Linked DNA regions of Cricetulus griseus. The protein of the gene in region 1 purifies or fractionates together with the protein of each later gene. This does not show direct contact. Links are inferred from orthologs where the notes say so. Each region holds a gene or a part of one and is shown on either strand. Other genes may lie near its edges.

Evidence for each region. Proteins that work in one complex are often made in the same cells at the same time.
Region 2: the proteins of Bag2 (region 1) and Tbl1xr1 purify together in Homo sapiens (affinity purification with mass spectrometry; 3 studies listed by BioGRID and IntAct, with this or other methods). This does not show direct contact. The link is inferred for Cricetulus griseus from reciprocal best matches to the Homo sapiens genes BAG2 and TBL1XR1.

The regions. Positions count from the first base shown.
Region 1 is NW_023276807.1:14,225,266-14,233,847, forward strand, and holds the start of Bag2 (BAG family molecular chaperone regulator 2), read left to right. Parts: upstream 1-3,296; 5' UTR 3,297-3,367; coding exon 3,368-3,480; intron 3,481-8,582. UniProt on the Homo sapiens protein: Co-chaperone for HSP70 and HSC70 chaperone proteins. Acts as a nucleotide-exchange factor (NEF) promoting the release of ADP from the HSP70 and HSC70 proteins thereby triggering client/substrate protein release.
Region 2 is NW_023276806.1:126,265,488-126,273,288, reverse strand, and holds part of Tbl1xr1 (F-box-like/WD repeat-containing protein TBL1XR1), read left to right. Parts: intron 1-3,180; coding exon 3,181-3,326; intron 3,327-4,684; coding exon 4,685-4,907; intron 4,908-5,406; coding exon 5,407-5,563; intron 5,564-5,986; coding exon 5,987-6,128; intron 6,129-6,544; coding exon 6,545-6,608; intron 6,609-6,695; coding exon 6,696-6,793; intron 6,794-7,801. UniProt on the Homo sapiens protein: F-box-like protein involved in the recruitment of the ubiquitin/19S proteasome complex to nuclear receptor-regulated transcription units. Plays an essential role in transcription activation mediated by nuclear receptors.

The DNA.
Region 1 (8,582 bases):
CATGTTGATCTTAAACACATTTGCAGGACCTTGCTAAACAACAAGAAAGACAACCTTGAAAGTAGCTATGCAGATCTGGAACAAGAAGAAACATTTGCATTTCTTTGCCAGAAATTCCACAGAAATTCTACATCCAAGCATGGTGTACCCTGATAGTCTGTTAAGGAGCTTTTGTGTTAAGTGTGTGGCTCAGTGTTTGCCTAGTGTGCCTAAGATCAGGGATTCACTCCCAGCACCTCCTATAGCATTCATACAGCAGCCGAACCTTTTGGTTTGACAGGAAAGGGATAGTTCCCTGAGGCTCTTAGGAAGAGGTAACAGTGTTCTTTAATGTGTTAACATCATTACTCACTAAATGATTTTAAAACATTATAAAACTGCTTCATAATTTGAATTTAGACAGGAATCATTAATAATAAAGTTGTAGATTATTATCTCAAGTATATTTCTAATATTGATAACAGGGTTTTTTTTTTTTTTTTCATTTCATTGTTAATTCACTTGTTCACAAAGTATTGTGGATCTACCAAGTGACAGCAGCTGCTCAAAGTACATGAGATGGGACAGTGATCCTAAGAGCTCCGGTCCCTCTACTGCTCAGACATGGAGAGTGGGCTATATGGAGAGAGTATTGGGTAACAAGCAGATAGGTAAAACTGTACCTATTGGGGATAATGTAGTAAGTATAGAAGCAGTGAGAATGATGCCGGATTCAGGGTGGGTTGCAGCACTGGGGATCATCAAATCTGGGGCAGCATCCATGCTAGGCAAACACTCTCTACCACTTAGCTCTCCCCAACCCTAGAATTACTTCTTTTTTTGAGCCAGCATCTTGCTGTGTAGCCTAGGTTAGTCTCCAATCCAGGTCCTCCTGGTCAGCCTTATGCTTGATGGGATTACAGATGTGCGCCCACTCCGCTCAGCTCAGGCTTGATATTTTTAACAGTGGTCAGGAAAAATTTCACTGGTAAGTGAACTTAAGCCAAGATTCAAAGAAGGCAAAGGAATCAGCCATGCAAAAAAATGTACAAGGTGGCCCCTGACTTGTGGTTTGATTTAGGATTTTGCAAAAGTGACACACACTTAAGAGAAATGGTGCTTCTTTTGTTTGCTCTGTGGTGAGCCACAGGAGGTTCCTGAGGGTTTGGTACAATCTACTGTGCTTAAATACTGTATTAAGAATTCCCAAGAGATGTCCGGGCGTTGGTGGTGCACGCCTTTAATCCCAGCACTCGGGAGGCAGAGGCAGGTGGATCCCTGTGAGTTCGAGACCAGCCTGGTCTATAAGAGCTAGTTCCAGGACAGTCTCCAAAGCCACAGAGAAACCCTGTTTCGAAAAACCAAAAAAAAAAAATTCCCAAGAGAGGCAAGATAGATGCCGAGGGAGCGGATGGGGCTTTGCAGTCACCCAGGGAAGACTGGCCAGGTGATGGTGGGATTGGAAGAGTCAAGATATATTCTGAAAGTAGAATTGGGACTTACTAATGGGTTGGGTCCAGGATATGAGTGAAAGTCCAGAGTGATTCTAGTCTAGAACCCTGAAAATTACCAAACCTGTAACAAAATGTTCTGTTGGTTGTGAAACCAAAATAAGCACAGCCAAGATGAAAACTACAAAGGTTTGCAACCTGTACTGGGTAGGAAGGAAGAGCATGGGAGCCATTACCAAAGCAAAGCTCTCCACAAACTCCACAAGCACTGGGGATTTCGTTCAGAGAGTCTATAGTCATATGGGAGGAGCCTGGCCATTCAGAAGCACACTCTCTCTAAAGAGTTCACACATCTTTAGACAGGAACACACATGTAGTCTGAAAATGCCTCTGTGTGTGCCCAACTGGTGACACAAAATTAAAATAAAATGGTTACTTTGAAGATATCTGCTATATTAGTTCCTTTTGCTGGGATAAAACACCATGACCAAGGCAACTTATAAATCATTTAAGCCCCGCGGTGGTGGCACTTGCCTTTGATCCCAGTACTCAGGAGGCAGAGGCAGGCAGATCTCTGTGAGTTCCAGACCAGCCTGGTCTACAGAGGGAGTTCCAGGACAGGTTCCAAAGCTACAGAAAAACCCTGTCTCAAAAAACAAAGCAAAACATCATTTAATTGGGCTCAGCTACAGAGGGTCAGAGTCACGATGGCATCAAGGACAGGTTCTGAGCACTCATCTGGAACCCAAGGAGGAGGCAGAGACACACTGGGAATGGCTAGTCTTCTGCAACATGCCCAGAGTGACATACTTCCTCCAGCAAGACCACACATAATCGTTCCCAAACAGCCAACTGAGGACCAGATGCCAGAGAGCATAAGACACTGAATCCATGACATCTGCCTTGTTTAGTTGCTAACCTAGGACAAAGGCAGATGCTATACCACCGAGCTACGTCTACAGCCCCTTATACTTTTTGAGATTTTTAGCTCTTGGCAAAGCAACCCCGCCTGGCCTTTGAACTCACTCTGGCCCGAGAGACACAATCCTTTATCAACATCCAGATGAGCTGGCATTAGACCTGAGATGAGCGCAAGCTTCGATTTTTCAAGACATTCACAAAACGTTCAAATTTCACATTTGTGTCATGAAATGACAATGTTTAATGAAGCCAGATAACCTACTGTTCCTTATTATGTAAAATGAGTTGGGGATGGGGCGGGTGGTGATGGTGGTGGAGGACCTGGAAGCCAGCTGTGCTTAAGGGACTTGACTCTGTTAAGTCATCAAATGGCTTTGAGTTCTGATTCAAGGTTGTAAATCCAAGTTTCTCATTTTCTGTGCACCGAGAGGACAAAACACAACTCTAACCAGACATGGCTTTGTATTTCAACCCTACTCCACCTCTTAGTGACCTCTGCAGGAGCCTATTGAATATTATTCACGGAGGATTTCAATAAGTTGGGTGTGAAAGTAATAACCTTTCATTAGAAAGGCGAGACAGTATAAATGCACTTGGCTTTTCCTTATTTGGAGCACAGTGTTGCCCAGGCTCTCCCTGTCCTCTTAGGAGCCTGCCTGGTAACCCGGCAGGTCGGGCAAGTAGAGACTGCCCCTAAGGCGCACTCAATTGTCTTAACGCTACACCAGGGGATCTTTTCTCCCACGTCACGGGCCGCACGATTTTGTCCCTGCTGTGAATTGTGGGTGTTGGGACAAACATCAGAAGCCATCGGCGAGCCGGCAGCCCGGTGGGAGGCTGGCGACGGGCACCGGGACAGGGTCCCCCACCCGAGTGCTGGCGGCTGCGCCCGCGCCTGCCCTTGTTTGGCCGCGCGGCCTCGGGGGCGGTGCCGTCCGCGTCAGCGGCGCCCGCGGTGACGGCGACGTGCGGCCCGCGCCACTGCTGCCCGCGGACGCCCCGGACCCCCGGAGCTCATGGCCCAGGCGAAGATCAGCGCCAAGGCCCACGAGGGTCGCTTCTGTCGCTCCTCGTCCATGGCAGACCGCTCCAGTCGCCTGCTGGAGAGCCTGGACCAGCTGGAGCTCAGGTGAGGGCGGGCGGGCGGGTGAGCGTGCAGGCGGGGGCGCCTCGGGTGGGCTCCACTCCCCGGGCGAGCGCGCGCGGCCTGCCCAACTTCCAGAACCTTGTGTGTGGTCCCCGCTGCCTCTAACTTCCACGTTTCCAGTAATGCTCTTTGGAGGGAGGCAGCAGCTTAGTGGGGTCTCTCCCTCCCACCTTCCCATTGTAGTAAGTTTCTTTGCCCCAAACCACTTCATAGTAACACAAGAGTAAGGAAAATTCCAGACTGCACCTCCCGCGACCAGCGAGAATTAGACCCACGAGTGGCCGTTGTGGGTGGCAAAGTTGGATGCGTTCTTTCATTTTCTTAACCACGTGCAATGCCCTCCGCATTCGGTCTGTATCTGTTGTGCATTTAGAAGATACTGATGACACCTAGGAAGTGCCAGCCACAGGCCTGAAAAGGTACGAGTCACACTCTGCCTGAGATTCTATCGCAGGATCGGTGTTGTAGTAAAATTTCTAAATAGTAAATACTAGCAAATGCTGTAAATACTTTGTTGCCTACAGCAATTTGAGATCTTACCTATCTGGTTAATGTCTCCGAAGTTGTGCAAGTCTTGATTGTGTGCAGGTGTTGTTCCATGAAAATCTTATCAAGGCACCCTGGGTCTTCTGGAACTGCGAACATTTTGTTCCCTAGTTTTCTCCAGGTTCTGCATAAGCAAAAGAATATGAGCAAAATCATAAGAGTCTTGTGTGCCTAATCTCCTTCCATTCGTCCACCAAACAAACAAACGGGAGGATGTTTGCACAGAAAACTACCACAAGCAGCATTGTTACAAATGAGGCATTTGTTATTATTACTATTAGGAGCAGAGATCCAGACGGTGAGAAATTTTTTTCACAATTTCCTGAGTAGCCACAAGAGAAGCCTTAACCATACAGTCCCCAGCCCGGAGTGAGACAAAGGGACCTCAGCTTTCAAGCCCTTCTGAGGAGAGGGAATGCTTCCCTCTACAAAGTAGGCACTGAACTTGGACAGTATATTCTCAACTGCTCAGATTTTTTTCTCCTTGAAAGGGTTTAGGAAGTTGTTACTCTTCTTTAGCTGAGTCACTGTCCTGAAACCTGAATTAATGCCTCCCTAGTGCTGGGTAGGGGGGTGGAGGGGGTTCCTGAAAGCCTTGGGTTTGGTGTTGCAGTCTAATGTTTGGTTAATGTAAAAGGAATTCTGACTGTTGCACATATGTGATTAATTGATACTTTAACTATTTGCTGAGAGGGAGAGTTTAATGTGTGTTTAATGGCTCAAGGCATGGGGCTCCTTTTTAGAAGCCACTTTGACACAGGGCACTGCACTATTAAAAATTTAGACTTTTAGCTGGGCAGTGGTGGCACACACCTCTAATCCCAGCACTCGGGAGGTAGAAGCAGGTGGATATCTGTGAATTTGAGGCCAGCCTGGTCTACACAGTGAGTTCCAGGACTGGCTTCATAGTTACTGAGAAACCCTGTCTTAAAAAAAAACAAAATAAAACAAAACAAAATTTTTAAATATGGATGATAGAGGAAAGATGAAGCTTGTGTGATTTCCCGATACTAGCTTCCTTGTATACAAATATTAGCAAGGCTGTGGATTTGGTGCTGTAAAACCCTGGTTTGTAGATAGTATGCATTTTCCAGTCAGTTGTGTGGATTCTATTGACAGTGGAAGTCACTTTTTCTTCTGAAACTGAAACCACATCAAAGGCTTTATATCCTGGAGGCTGAACTGACCTCTGGGATTGCCTAAAATGCTTTAAAATGTTCAGCCCTGTTTTACAAGCTGTTAGTGGATTGTCGTTCGTTTCTATTAGTTTATAATATTAACTACACTATCTGACATTAAAAAAAATATTTTCTACTACAGCTCCTCTAAAGAGGTAACCCTGTCCTTTCTTGATTTTTGCGACCAGTTCTATGGGATTCTGCGCCCTTCGTGGCTAGATGGCTTACTTATTACTTTTTAATGTTTATCCTAGTTTATAAATAATACATGTTAGCATCTATCTGCATGCTAGGCCTCATGCCTCTGTGGGAGTTACCATTATCTGTATTCTACAGATGAGAAATTGAAGCTCAGATATAAACGACATGCCTCAAGTTGCAGCCAAGAGCTGTGGACTCCACGTTTGAACACAGGAAGAGGGGCTGCTCAGATCAAACACCATGTGTCTTAGTGTTGAATATATCATTTTTCAAACTGTCCAGTTGGCATAAGAACGTGCTTTTACTAAAAGAAAAATCAATTTAGCATTTAATTGAGTAAATATTGAGCACCCAGTACGTGCCAAGTATTGAGTAGCTTCTAGAAGCTGTGGGTGATAAAGCAGCTGGGTCTCGGGGATTGGCAGAGGAGGAATGAATGATAGGTAGGACTGGGAGGTCGGCTGTCCGTACACTTCCCAAATGGTCCCATAGGGAGTAGTTCTTTCCAGTCCACCCAGGCAGGAAATGATGTTGTCGCCAGGGCCAAGGAAATGCACTGTCCGCTGCTTTGGTTTCTTACTGCTTAAGGTTCCTGTCAGGATGTCCCAGTGTCCCAGGACTCACAAAGCAAGTCGACACCATATTTAATTGGAGTAATAGTCTGTAATTTAAAAGAACACTTTTCATATACCTTGTAATTTGAAACTTCTATAACCCTTGAGGAGGAGGAAGCTGTTATTATCTCTTTCAGCTGTGAGAGCAGTGGGTTGCAAAGGAGCTTAGTTGATAGGATGCTTGTCTAGCAGGTTCAGAACCCTACGTTTGATACCTGGCTTCAGAAAGCCAGCATGGTGGTGCATGCCTATAGTCCCAGTCCTAGAGACAAGAGGATCAGAAGTTCAAGGTCATCCTGGGCTATACAGTGAGTTCTGGGCCAGCCTGGAATACATGAGACCTGTCTGGATGGGGGGGGAGGAGAAACTGAGGGACTAGGTACCTTGTCTTAATCTATTGTACTGGTGAGTCATTCTGACTGTGAATGAGTGCTACATTTTGGTGAAGGAGAGAACCTTGCTGTCCTGACAGTATCAGGAATTGCAGCAGATGCCATGGTCTCACATGGAGCCTCGTCTGTGAGTTTAAGATCTTGTTTTAGAAAAAGTTCCTTTCTCATAAATCCACTGATGTGAACGTTTGCCAGTTCCCTGTTCATAGAAGCATACATTTTTGTTAACAAATGAGAGTGTGGCCGTGAGTAAGTCTAGAATAACCACCGTGAATCTCCTGCAGCTGATGTCATGCATAGCGTTTGACTCATGCCAAAGTTTTCAGCCGGTGCTGTCATTCTGGTTTGCTTTGTTCGGTCACGGCCAGGTCTCCTTATCCTTGGTGTCCTGGGTGAGGACATTTTGGTGAAGTCAGCAGTAGTTCCTCACACAGCATGGGTGGTAGCTCCGGAGTTGTCACTTTTGTGAGCTGCTGTCTGGTGACACCTGTCTGCACCTGCCCTTCTACCAGTTTGCCCTTGCTGCAGGCTTATGAGATGCCGGGAGGCTGGGGACCAAGTGAGGATGCTGCAGTTTTGTGTGCATGGAAATTCTCCCTACAGTCTCTTTGCCAGAGCCCGCTCAGAGTGCAGCTTGCCAGAGGTGCCGCCCAGTCAGCGGGGCTGTGAGATGCCTCCTTTCCCAATTTGGACATGTAGCTGCTCCCTGGATCCCAGTCCCCACAGAAATGCCCCTTGATGACAAGAGAAGAATCATCACATGTGTTTATCAAGACTGGATGTTTATATCTGTCTATCTACTTAAGAAACTAATAGGAAGGGAGGCAGACAGTATATAAGGTTCAGTCACTAACCTCAGACTAATGGAAAAGCTACATAGACAAAATTCTGTGAATTGAGTTTAAGTACAGCAATAAAACAGTGCAAACATAATTTAAACAAGCTGAGTAGTGAGGAATGCTGGCCTAGTGCACATGAAACCCTAGGTTCCATCGCCAGTACAGATAAACCAGGCATCGTCTATGTCTGTAACACCAGCACTCAGGAGGTAGAAGTGGAAAGGTCAGAAGCTCAAGTGGATTCCAAGCTAGCCTGGGATACATGAGGTCCTGTCTCAGAGGGAAGAGGGTGGGGGTAAGACCAATGAACAGTGCTGTCCTGCCTTCTTTTAAAGTCAGCTTGAAACAAGCTAGGGCCATTTGGGAAGAATGACTCTCAACTGAGAAAATGCCTCCATAAGATCAAGCTGTAGGCAAGAAAGCCTTTTTTGGGCAGTGGTTCTCAACGTTCCTAATGCTGTGTAACCCTTTAATACAGTTCCTCATGTTGTGGTGACCCCCAACCAGAAAATTATTATCGTTGCTACGTCATAACTATAATTTTGCTGCTTTTATGAATTGTAATGTGTTTTCCGATGGTCTTGGGCAACTCCTGTGAAAGGGTTGTTTGACCCCCCCCCCAGCCCCAAGGGGTTGAGAACCACTGCTTTGGGATATTTTGTTTTCTTTTTTATAATTAGTGATTGGTGTAGAAGAAGCCATCCATTGTGGGTGGCACCATGCCTGGGCTGGAGTTCTTTCTATAAGAAAGACTGAGCAAGCCATGAGGGAGCCAGCCAGTAAGCAACATTTTTGTAGCCTCTGAATCAGCTTCTACCTCCAGGTTCCGTCCTGTTTGAGCACACGGACTGCATTCAGTGGTGCACTGTGATGTGGAAGAGTCAGAAAAATAAACCCTTTCCTCCCCAGGTCACTCTTGCTCATGCTGATCTGTCACAGCAATAGACACCATGACTAAGACAAGTGCCAAGGAAGGTACTCATTTCCTTAAGGAAAAGGAAGAGGGAAGCTGTGAACAGTCCCTGCCCAAGGGAAACAGAATTTTTTAAAATACCCTAAATATCAGGAAGAATGTTGGAGGAAGAAAGAACAGAAAATGAAAGGCCCACGATAAATGTAGAAATATATGTAGACATGTATATCGCTCTGGCAATTTCTACTATGCATAAAGAACTTTCAGGGGAAGGAAGATCCCCCATCAGTCAATATCATTCTCTCTCTCTCTCTCTCTCTCTCTCTCTCTCTCTCTCTCTCTCTCTCTCTGAGATCAAACTCAAGGCTTTATAAATCTAAGCACATCCTGGACCTCAAAGC
Region 2 (7,801 bases), on another chromosome or scaffold:
GCATTCATGTACATGTGTATGTTGTAAGATCACAGGAGAAAATGATAGGTGAGGGAAGCAATACTGTCAGGCTCAGAAGCAAGGGGTGGGTACTAAAGCATGGTGGAGATGCTGGGTACCATTTGACATCTTACAGACTTAGTGTGTGTACTGGGATGGGAGCTGCCTATTGGAGGGGGGGGGGGACAGACCTGTGGAGAAAGGTAGGACTAAGTTCCAGAAATAGCTTCATCTGTACTATATAGGTCTTCATCATGATGGCCAGGAGTATCACCAATAGCAGTTGTCAAGTGATGCTGATGATTTTAAGTTGCTCAAGGTTGTCCCCTTACTGCTTGAGATAACTCAGCACATTTGCAGTGACTTGAGATGCTCACGAGCCTCTTTCCAGGTCTGGGGAAAGTGCAAGCCATACTCAGCTTTCCTGTTTAAAGCGCAGTTCTGCCTGCTACTGCAAGCAGTTGCATTCATGGGCAGATCATTAAGCTTAAACTGGAAGAAAGCTGGATAGTGTTGTAATTTTAAAAGAAACAGCTGGGGAGAGAAAGATGCCATGTGACAGATTTCAAGTGGAGGGGGGTTTTCTATTAAGGAAAAGGATTGTAAAAAAGGAAAGAGGAAGGGTGTGGGATTGGTCTCTGTGGACAGAAGGATTTGGAGCATCAGAAGAGAGGAAAGAGAGGTGTGGGGTGGAAGGGTAATAGAGAGAGAGAGGGAGAGTAAGAAAGATAGAAGGATGGGAGGTGGGGAGGATAGTGACTATGCACAGATAGTGCTCTTAGTGGCTGGAGTTGAGGACATATCCTGTCAAAACCCCAAGGACAAGCTGGGCAGTGGTGGCACACACTCCCAACACTCGGGAGGCAGAGGCAGGCAGATCTCTGTGAGTTTGAGACCAGCCTGATCTACAATAGCTAGTTCCAGGACAACCACCAAAGCCACAGAGAAACCCTGTCTCCAAAAACCAAACCAAAACAAAAAACAAAAACCCCAAGGGCAGGCCAGTACGGATGCGTGATAGGATCTGGAATCTGGTAGTTCTGAGAAATGTATTCAAGGAGAATGTAGAGAAAACAGGTTTTACTCAGCTTATGATTGTAAATATAAACTCCTTCCCAATCCTGGTGAGGTGCCCTAGTGTTTTATAATGTGCCTGTTCCTCTTTCTCAGTCCCTAAGGAACAACTGAGCAATGATGACTGCTGTTCTCAAGTGTAGTATTTTGACTTTTCAAGAGAATCAGGAAGCAGGATGGATTTGAGTCCCTATTGCGTCCTGTGACTGTCCCCAGCCTTAATTCATAATATAATGCAATAAAGAGCTGGTGTGTTTTCCATAATGGCATCTTCTGTTTCAAAGTCTTCTAAGTGGTTGCCCCCACCCCATTTTTGATTTGTTGAAGAACTTATTTGGGGACTGTCATGTTATTTACATAGAAATCCCCAACCTCCAACTTCATTGCCTCGTCTCCAGTCCTCTCTCTTAATACTTCCAAGAATTAGGCTTGCCTTTCTGTGCTGGTGATCTGGAAGCTAGACCTCCCCAGATTCTGGAACTTGGGATTCCTGAAGGATACTTCAGAAAGGTGTCTTTCTCCCCTGTCTCACAGCCACATTTGTTTCTGCCATCTTTGTGACTTCAGATAAAACACAAAACCTTTAATGTGCCTAAACACAAACTAGTCTGTGGGGGAAGTCATGAAGTTAAAACTAAAGTCTTAGAAAAATGACTGTCTCCCCCTCCCACCGTGGGCCATTAAGGAAGGCATGGCTAGCAGAAGTACAAGCTTCGAGGAGAACCCAGCCAGGTGTACTCTGTCCACCCACGAGCCTTTCCCAGCCACATGCTGTTTGGATGTGTACAGGCTTTAAACTTAGTAAACTGTGATGGGATTTCACAGAGAGCAGCCATCCTGTCTGTTACTGGAACTTCTCTTTGTTATCTGGACTAGACTTTCACTATAATATGAAGTTAATATAAAGAGACTGGCTATGTGAGTTTCATGCTTTGAAGTATTTTTTTAAATTATTTAACTTTTTGAGATGGCCTTTCCTTGTAGCCATCCCCTGGCTATCCTGGAAAATGTTGTGTAATGTGCCTCTGCTTCCTGAGTTTTGGGACTAATTTGTCAAAGGAGACCTACCTAGAAACTGGACTTTCATTTTATAGTTCTTTTCTTAAGTGCTTGTTTAGATGAGTTATTCCTAAATTATGAGTATTTTTTAAAACAATGGATATAAAATAATTTTATATAAAAAGTTCAAGTGTTATAATTTGGCTTTTTATTTCTTTTGGAGACAGTCTCACACAGTACAGGTTAGCAAAAGATAACCTTGAACTCTGATCTCCCTGCCTGCATCTCCTGCATGTTAGCAGTACTGGTGTGCACCATTGTCCACAGTTTTCTCAGTGCTGGCTTGGAGCCCAGGACTTCATGCATAACTAGGCAAGCACTGAGCCACATCTCCAGCCCAAGTCTGTTATCATTTTGCCTTTTTTTTTAATTATAGCTTGCATTTTATTCGCTAATTTTTTTAAGCTACAAAACAATGAAGGTGCTTGACAGTTTGTCTCTAAAATTTCAAATATACCACAGAAATAAGACCTGCCATATAAATCTTGATTTCTGTTTGTCTCATGAGGCAGTTTAGGTCCATTGTTTCTCAAGGCTTTTCAGTTTTTACATTTGATGCATTTTCTTCAGGAAAGCTGTGTTACTGTTAGAAATACTAGAGCCATTCGCTATGGTGGGATGCCTTGCTCCATCCTGATACAGGGGTGAGGGGCTTGGCCCTACCTCTACTTGGTAATCCAGACTTTGTTGACTCCCCAAGGAAGGCCTTACCCCCTCTGACAAGTGGGGGTTGGGAAGGAAGGAGGTGGGGAGAGGGGAAGGAGGGGGAACTGAGGTTGGTATGTAAAATGAAAAATAACTTTTTAAATTAAAAAAAGAGAAAAAGTACAAAAGAAAAACTGGAGCCAACTAACCTAGTAGATGCCAGAAAGTTACTAGCACTGCATTGATCATTGGTTTAAACTCATATTTTACTTTAGCTGTCCATTTACAATTTCAAGTGATGGCGTGTGATTATGAAAGATTATAAAGTTTTTTTTTCCCATTTGTAATTTAATGTGAAATTACTAAGAAAGTAAATTCTCAGGTCTTTTCTTTTGCTTTTAGGATTTTCTCATTCCGCGTTTACCTTTGGTATAGAGAGCCATATAAGTCAGTCCAATATAAATGGCGCCCTTGTCCCACCTGCTGCATTGATCTCCATCATCCAGAAAGGCCTACAGTATGTAGAGGCAGAAGTTAGCATAAATGAGGTAAGGCAGACGAGTTTCATTTCAGACACTGATTCTGATTCTTAAATGCATTTGTTTATTCAGTATCTGACTCGATTTCACTGTATTCAGACAAAATAAGGTCATCATTCTTAATGTACCAGTCAGGTTGTACTAGCTATGCATGTGGGCTTCGCTCCAGTGGCCTGAGTCTAGATTATTCCTTAAGGGAGGGGGTGGAGGGGGTGGGGAAGCTGTGTGTGTGTGTGTGTGTGTGTGTGTGTGTGTGTGTGTGTGTGTGTGTGTGTTTGTGCTTTAAGTAAGCACAAGGAAATAATTTTTAACAAATAATGAATTTTGCTTTATTGTACGGCAACAACTTGATGGCAAGCATTGGGAAATCCATTGTTTAGTGTCATGTACCCTGATTATTGAATCCAGGTATTTATAATGGATGCCCACTCTTGATGCTCAGAGCTGCATGTGTGAGGTTCATGTGTAAGTAGGGGGTTTGTTTCAGGTGTTGGCATGCTTCTGGGGCCTGATTCTGTAGATCAGCTTTGTAACTCAGGCAGACTCATTCACATTTGGACTGTCTGGGTGGATACTGGGAACATGAGGTGCTGTGACACGGATCTTAAATGCACACACTGCCTGCTCTTTCCTAGAAGTCTGCAGAACTTTGCTCTAGCTAGAAAGTTTAATGTATTTCCAGGACTCAGAACACGTTGAGGTGTTCCCTTTATTCTTTACTTGAAAAGTGAACACACTCCTCCCCTGCCCTTCCCCCCAAAAACATAAGTGGAAGGATTTTAGCTGTTTAAAGTGTCCATTCTCCTGTTGGTATCCTCAAGGATGGGTCCCTCATTGCCACAGTGAGCACCATCTACAGTGCTCTTGATTTACACCAAATGGTACACATCTAGATCACATATATGATGTGCTTGTTACCCTGTTATGTTTAAGGAAAATCTACAAGAAAAAGATCTGCCCCAGTTCAGTACAGGTGCATTTATTTTTTTTCCAAGGCCTGGATTCAGAGTACTGATGAGACACTGCCTCTTTGTTGTATGAGCTACTCTTATTGGTTGATGTTTTTTACTGACAGCCTTCATTACCTGAATTTGACATATTTCCATTTTATTATCTGTTTAAGAGCTTTTATGAGTGGCCTCTTGTATTGCATTTGTCTTTGTAGAGTTTAGCAGGATGTAAGTGAAGAGTAGAGGGCCATTTGCATCTGCCTCATTCAGGGTCATTCTTATTCTCTTCTCTCCTTCCTGCTCAAATTCAGAAAATTACCAGGTTTTCCTCAAAGTGAAGCTCTTCATTCTGTTAGTGGAATGCATGTCACCCTCAAGGCTACATCTCATTTTTCTTTCCGGGTTTTCCAATCTCAGGATGGCACCTTATTTGATGGTCGGCCCATTGAGTCTCTGTCGCTGATCGATGCTGTTATGCCCGATGTAGTCCAAACAAGACAACAAGCCTACAGAGACAAGCTTGCACAGCAACATGCAGCCGCCGCTGCAGCTGCCGCCGCAGCCACTAACCAGCAAGGATCTGCAAAAAATGGAGAGAATACAGCAAATGGGGAGGAGAATGGAGCACATACCATCACAAGTGAGCTAAGAATGTTTAGAGAGTCTCAGAAAACACTTGGCCTTACATAGACTGTCCCATCCTTAGAACTGAAATGATACCTCTATGCCCAACTTAGGTCACACAGCTCAGAGTTTATACTTAAGGTTCCAAAAAGCTAAATTCACTGTATATTCCTTTTTAGGTGTTTTTGAACCCTTTTTCTCTTAGAATTCCGAATCTGCCTTTGATTTTTAAGTAAAAGTTGGAATGTTCTCTCTTAAACATAAGTAAGGCTATGACATTGAGGAATAAAGATGACTCTCATGTTATATGAACGATATCAGCAACCCCTACTGGCAGAAACTCAGAATAATATTGTTATAGATGGTTTAATTCAGCCACATTATCATTCCAGCCATGCTGAGGTTCACTCCCTTTTCACTCCTCTTTCTCCCTTGCCTCCTTCCATATCCACATCTGTGTATATAGACCCTCACATGCTTAGGACTAGTACTAGAATTGTGATTACCTCTTACAGAGATTGTTGCTTCTCATGATGCAGATAATCACACTGACTTGATGGAAGTAGATGGGGATGTTGAAATCCCTCCCAACAAAGCAGTTGTGCTACGGGGCCATGAATCTGAGGTTTTCATCTGTGCCTGGAACCCTGTTAGTGATCTCCTGGCATCAGGGTAGGTTTTTCAAAGGATGTTGGGTATTTTGTTTGGTTTTAGACAGGATTTACTGTTTAGGGGAGGCTAGTTTTGAACTGTTGACCCTCCTGAGTCCTGAGATTAATAGGCCTGCTGCAACATACCCAGATCTACAGTGCCAATTAAGGCTACCTTACTGAATGGACTGTTGCATATTTTGTATGTATTTCACTTTCCAGGTGCTTGTTGCCTGCTTCTGGTCATGTTACCTTAGTAAATTGATATTTCCTGTGAAGTAACTTTAGAATTTCTTGGTAGGAGCTCTAAAATGTAGAATAAGAAAAATATTGGGAATGTTTATGCCTGGTAGTCTGCTTCTTACTCAGATGCTAAATGTATGGCCTGAGTTTTGGAATGCTGGAGAATGTCATGAGGACTTAAACCTATTTTTGAACTTTGAAGGTCTGGAGACTCCACAGCAAGAATATGGAATCTTAGTGAAAACAGCACGAATGGTCCCACACAGCTGGTGCTTAGGCATTGCATACGGGAAGGAGGACAGGACGTTCCCAGCAACAAGGATGTCACTTCTCTAGATTGGAATGTGAGTGTCCCTTGCTTTAGTGGTTTGTGAATGAAGGCATTTGAGGATTTGGCTGTACAGTCAACCTGGCTCCAAATTCCTAAGTCCTGATCAGAATTTTACTTTTTACTTCTTATAAAACCATTTTCGTGGTGGTGTTTTGATGTCCTTTTAGTCTGCAACCTACCTCCATCCTCATTCATGGGTGTCTATGAAAATATTCTGCAGAGGGTTATTGTCAGTCCTACTCCACAGCGGTTATGACCAGTGCTCAGATTTGGGGTGGGCCTTTCAAGAGCATTGACTTCATCAGGGAAAGGGGTTTTGCCGGCCTTTGGTGGCACTCACACAGAGATGAGATTCCTTTGTGCCTGGACATATTCATAGTAATTAAGTAGCCTTAATTGTGTAATGAACAAAATTTATTTCTCTGGCAGAGTGAAGGTACACTTCTAGCAACTGGGTCATATGATGGATTTGCCAGAATATGGACTAAAGATGGTATGTATTTTTCTAACTTTATTGATGTTCTATGTTATAAAGTTTGAAGTAATTTTAAAGTTTTTTTTTGTTGTTGTTGTTGTTTAGGTAATCTTGCCAGCACCTTAGGGCAGCATAAAGGCCCTATATTTGCATTAAAATGGAATAAGAAAGGAAATTTCATCCTAAGTGCTGGAGTAGATAAGGTAAATGATTATTTACCTAACCTGTATAACACTATATTTGAAAGTAATTTTTTTCTTTTCTGATAATCATTTAAACTTCAGTGCATTCAAGTATGGATTTTTGACAGTAATAGAAATAATTTCTTGTTGTCCGCTTGTTTTCCTTAATCTACTCATCATATCTTTTGTTTATAAGCATTCTTCATTTTTGCTGGAATTTGAACCTAATGAATGTTATCATTCAGCACTTTGTGCTTTGCCAGTTTATCTCAGTGGTGGCTGTAACTCTGGAGTGACTCCGTGGGCCATCCATGTCTTCCTGTGCTCTGTGAAGTAAATAGAGACTGGTTGGAACTGGCTCCTCCTCCTCTAGGCCCCCTCTACCACACTTCCCTAAATAATAAAAGGTTTAAGACTTTTTTTGTTCCAGCAAAGAACAGGCTATTAATCATTTGGGTGGTGTTGGGAAGGGGACATAAACTGGCTTAGATTCATAGTTCTGATGAGTAGTTTTCACAGACTGATGAAGGTATCTGGGGAGGAGAAGAGCCAGTACTGTCTTTCTCATAAGCAGCTTCAGGACCTGCCTTAAATGGTATCAAAAATGGAAACATCTATTTTTCTTTCTTTTTTGTCCATGTAAGCTTCAGGAAAGGAGAAATGTTTCAGTATTCCGGGATAGGTGATTTCACTACAACCTTCTAACTTCAGAGCTGTAAAAATGCATATTGAACACACCATTGCAGTGGAACCTGTTACACAGTCTAATATAATGCCAGGCACTTTGTTGACAAACAATAGTTGTTACTAGAAATAAGTTGGTGAAAAATTGCCACAAAAAAGTTAAACTACGTCATGGTCATTTCCCCTGACCTACCTGAGTGTGAATGATGCCCTTGTGCTGTGAGGAATAAAAACATTGAAGATGAAGTTCACTGTCGAGTTTCATTCTGCCTTAATGCAGTCAGGCATCCATTCTTGCATTCACATACTCTTTAACGTCAGAGAAATTAATTTTTCTTTTCCTTT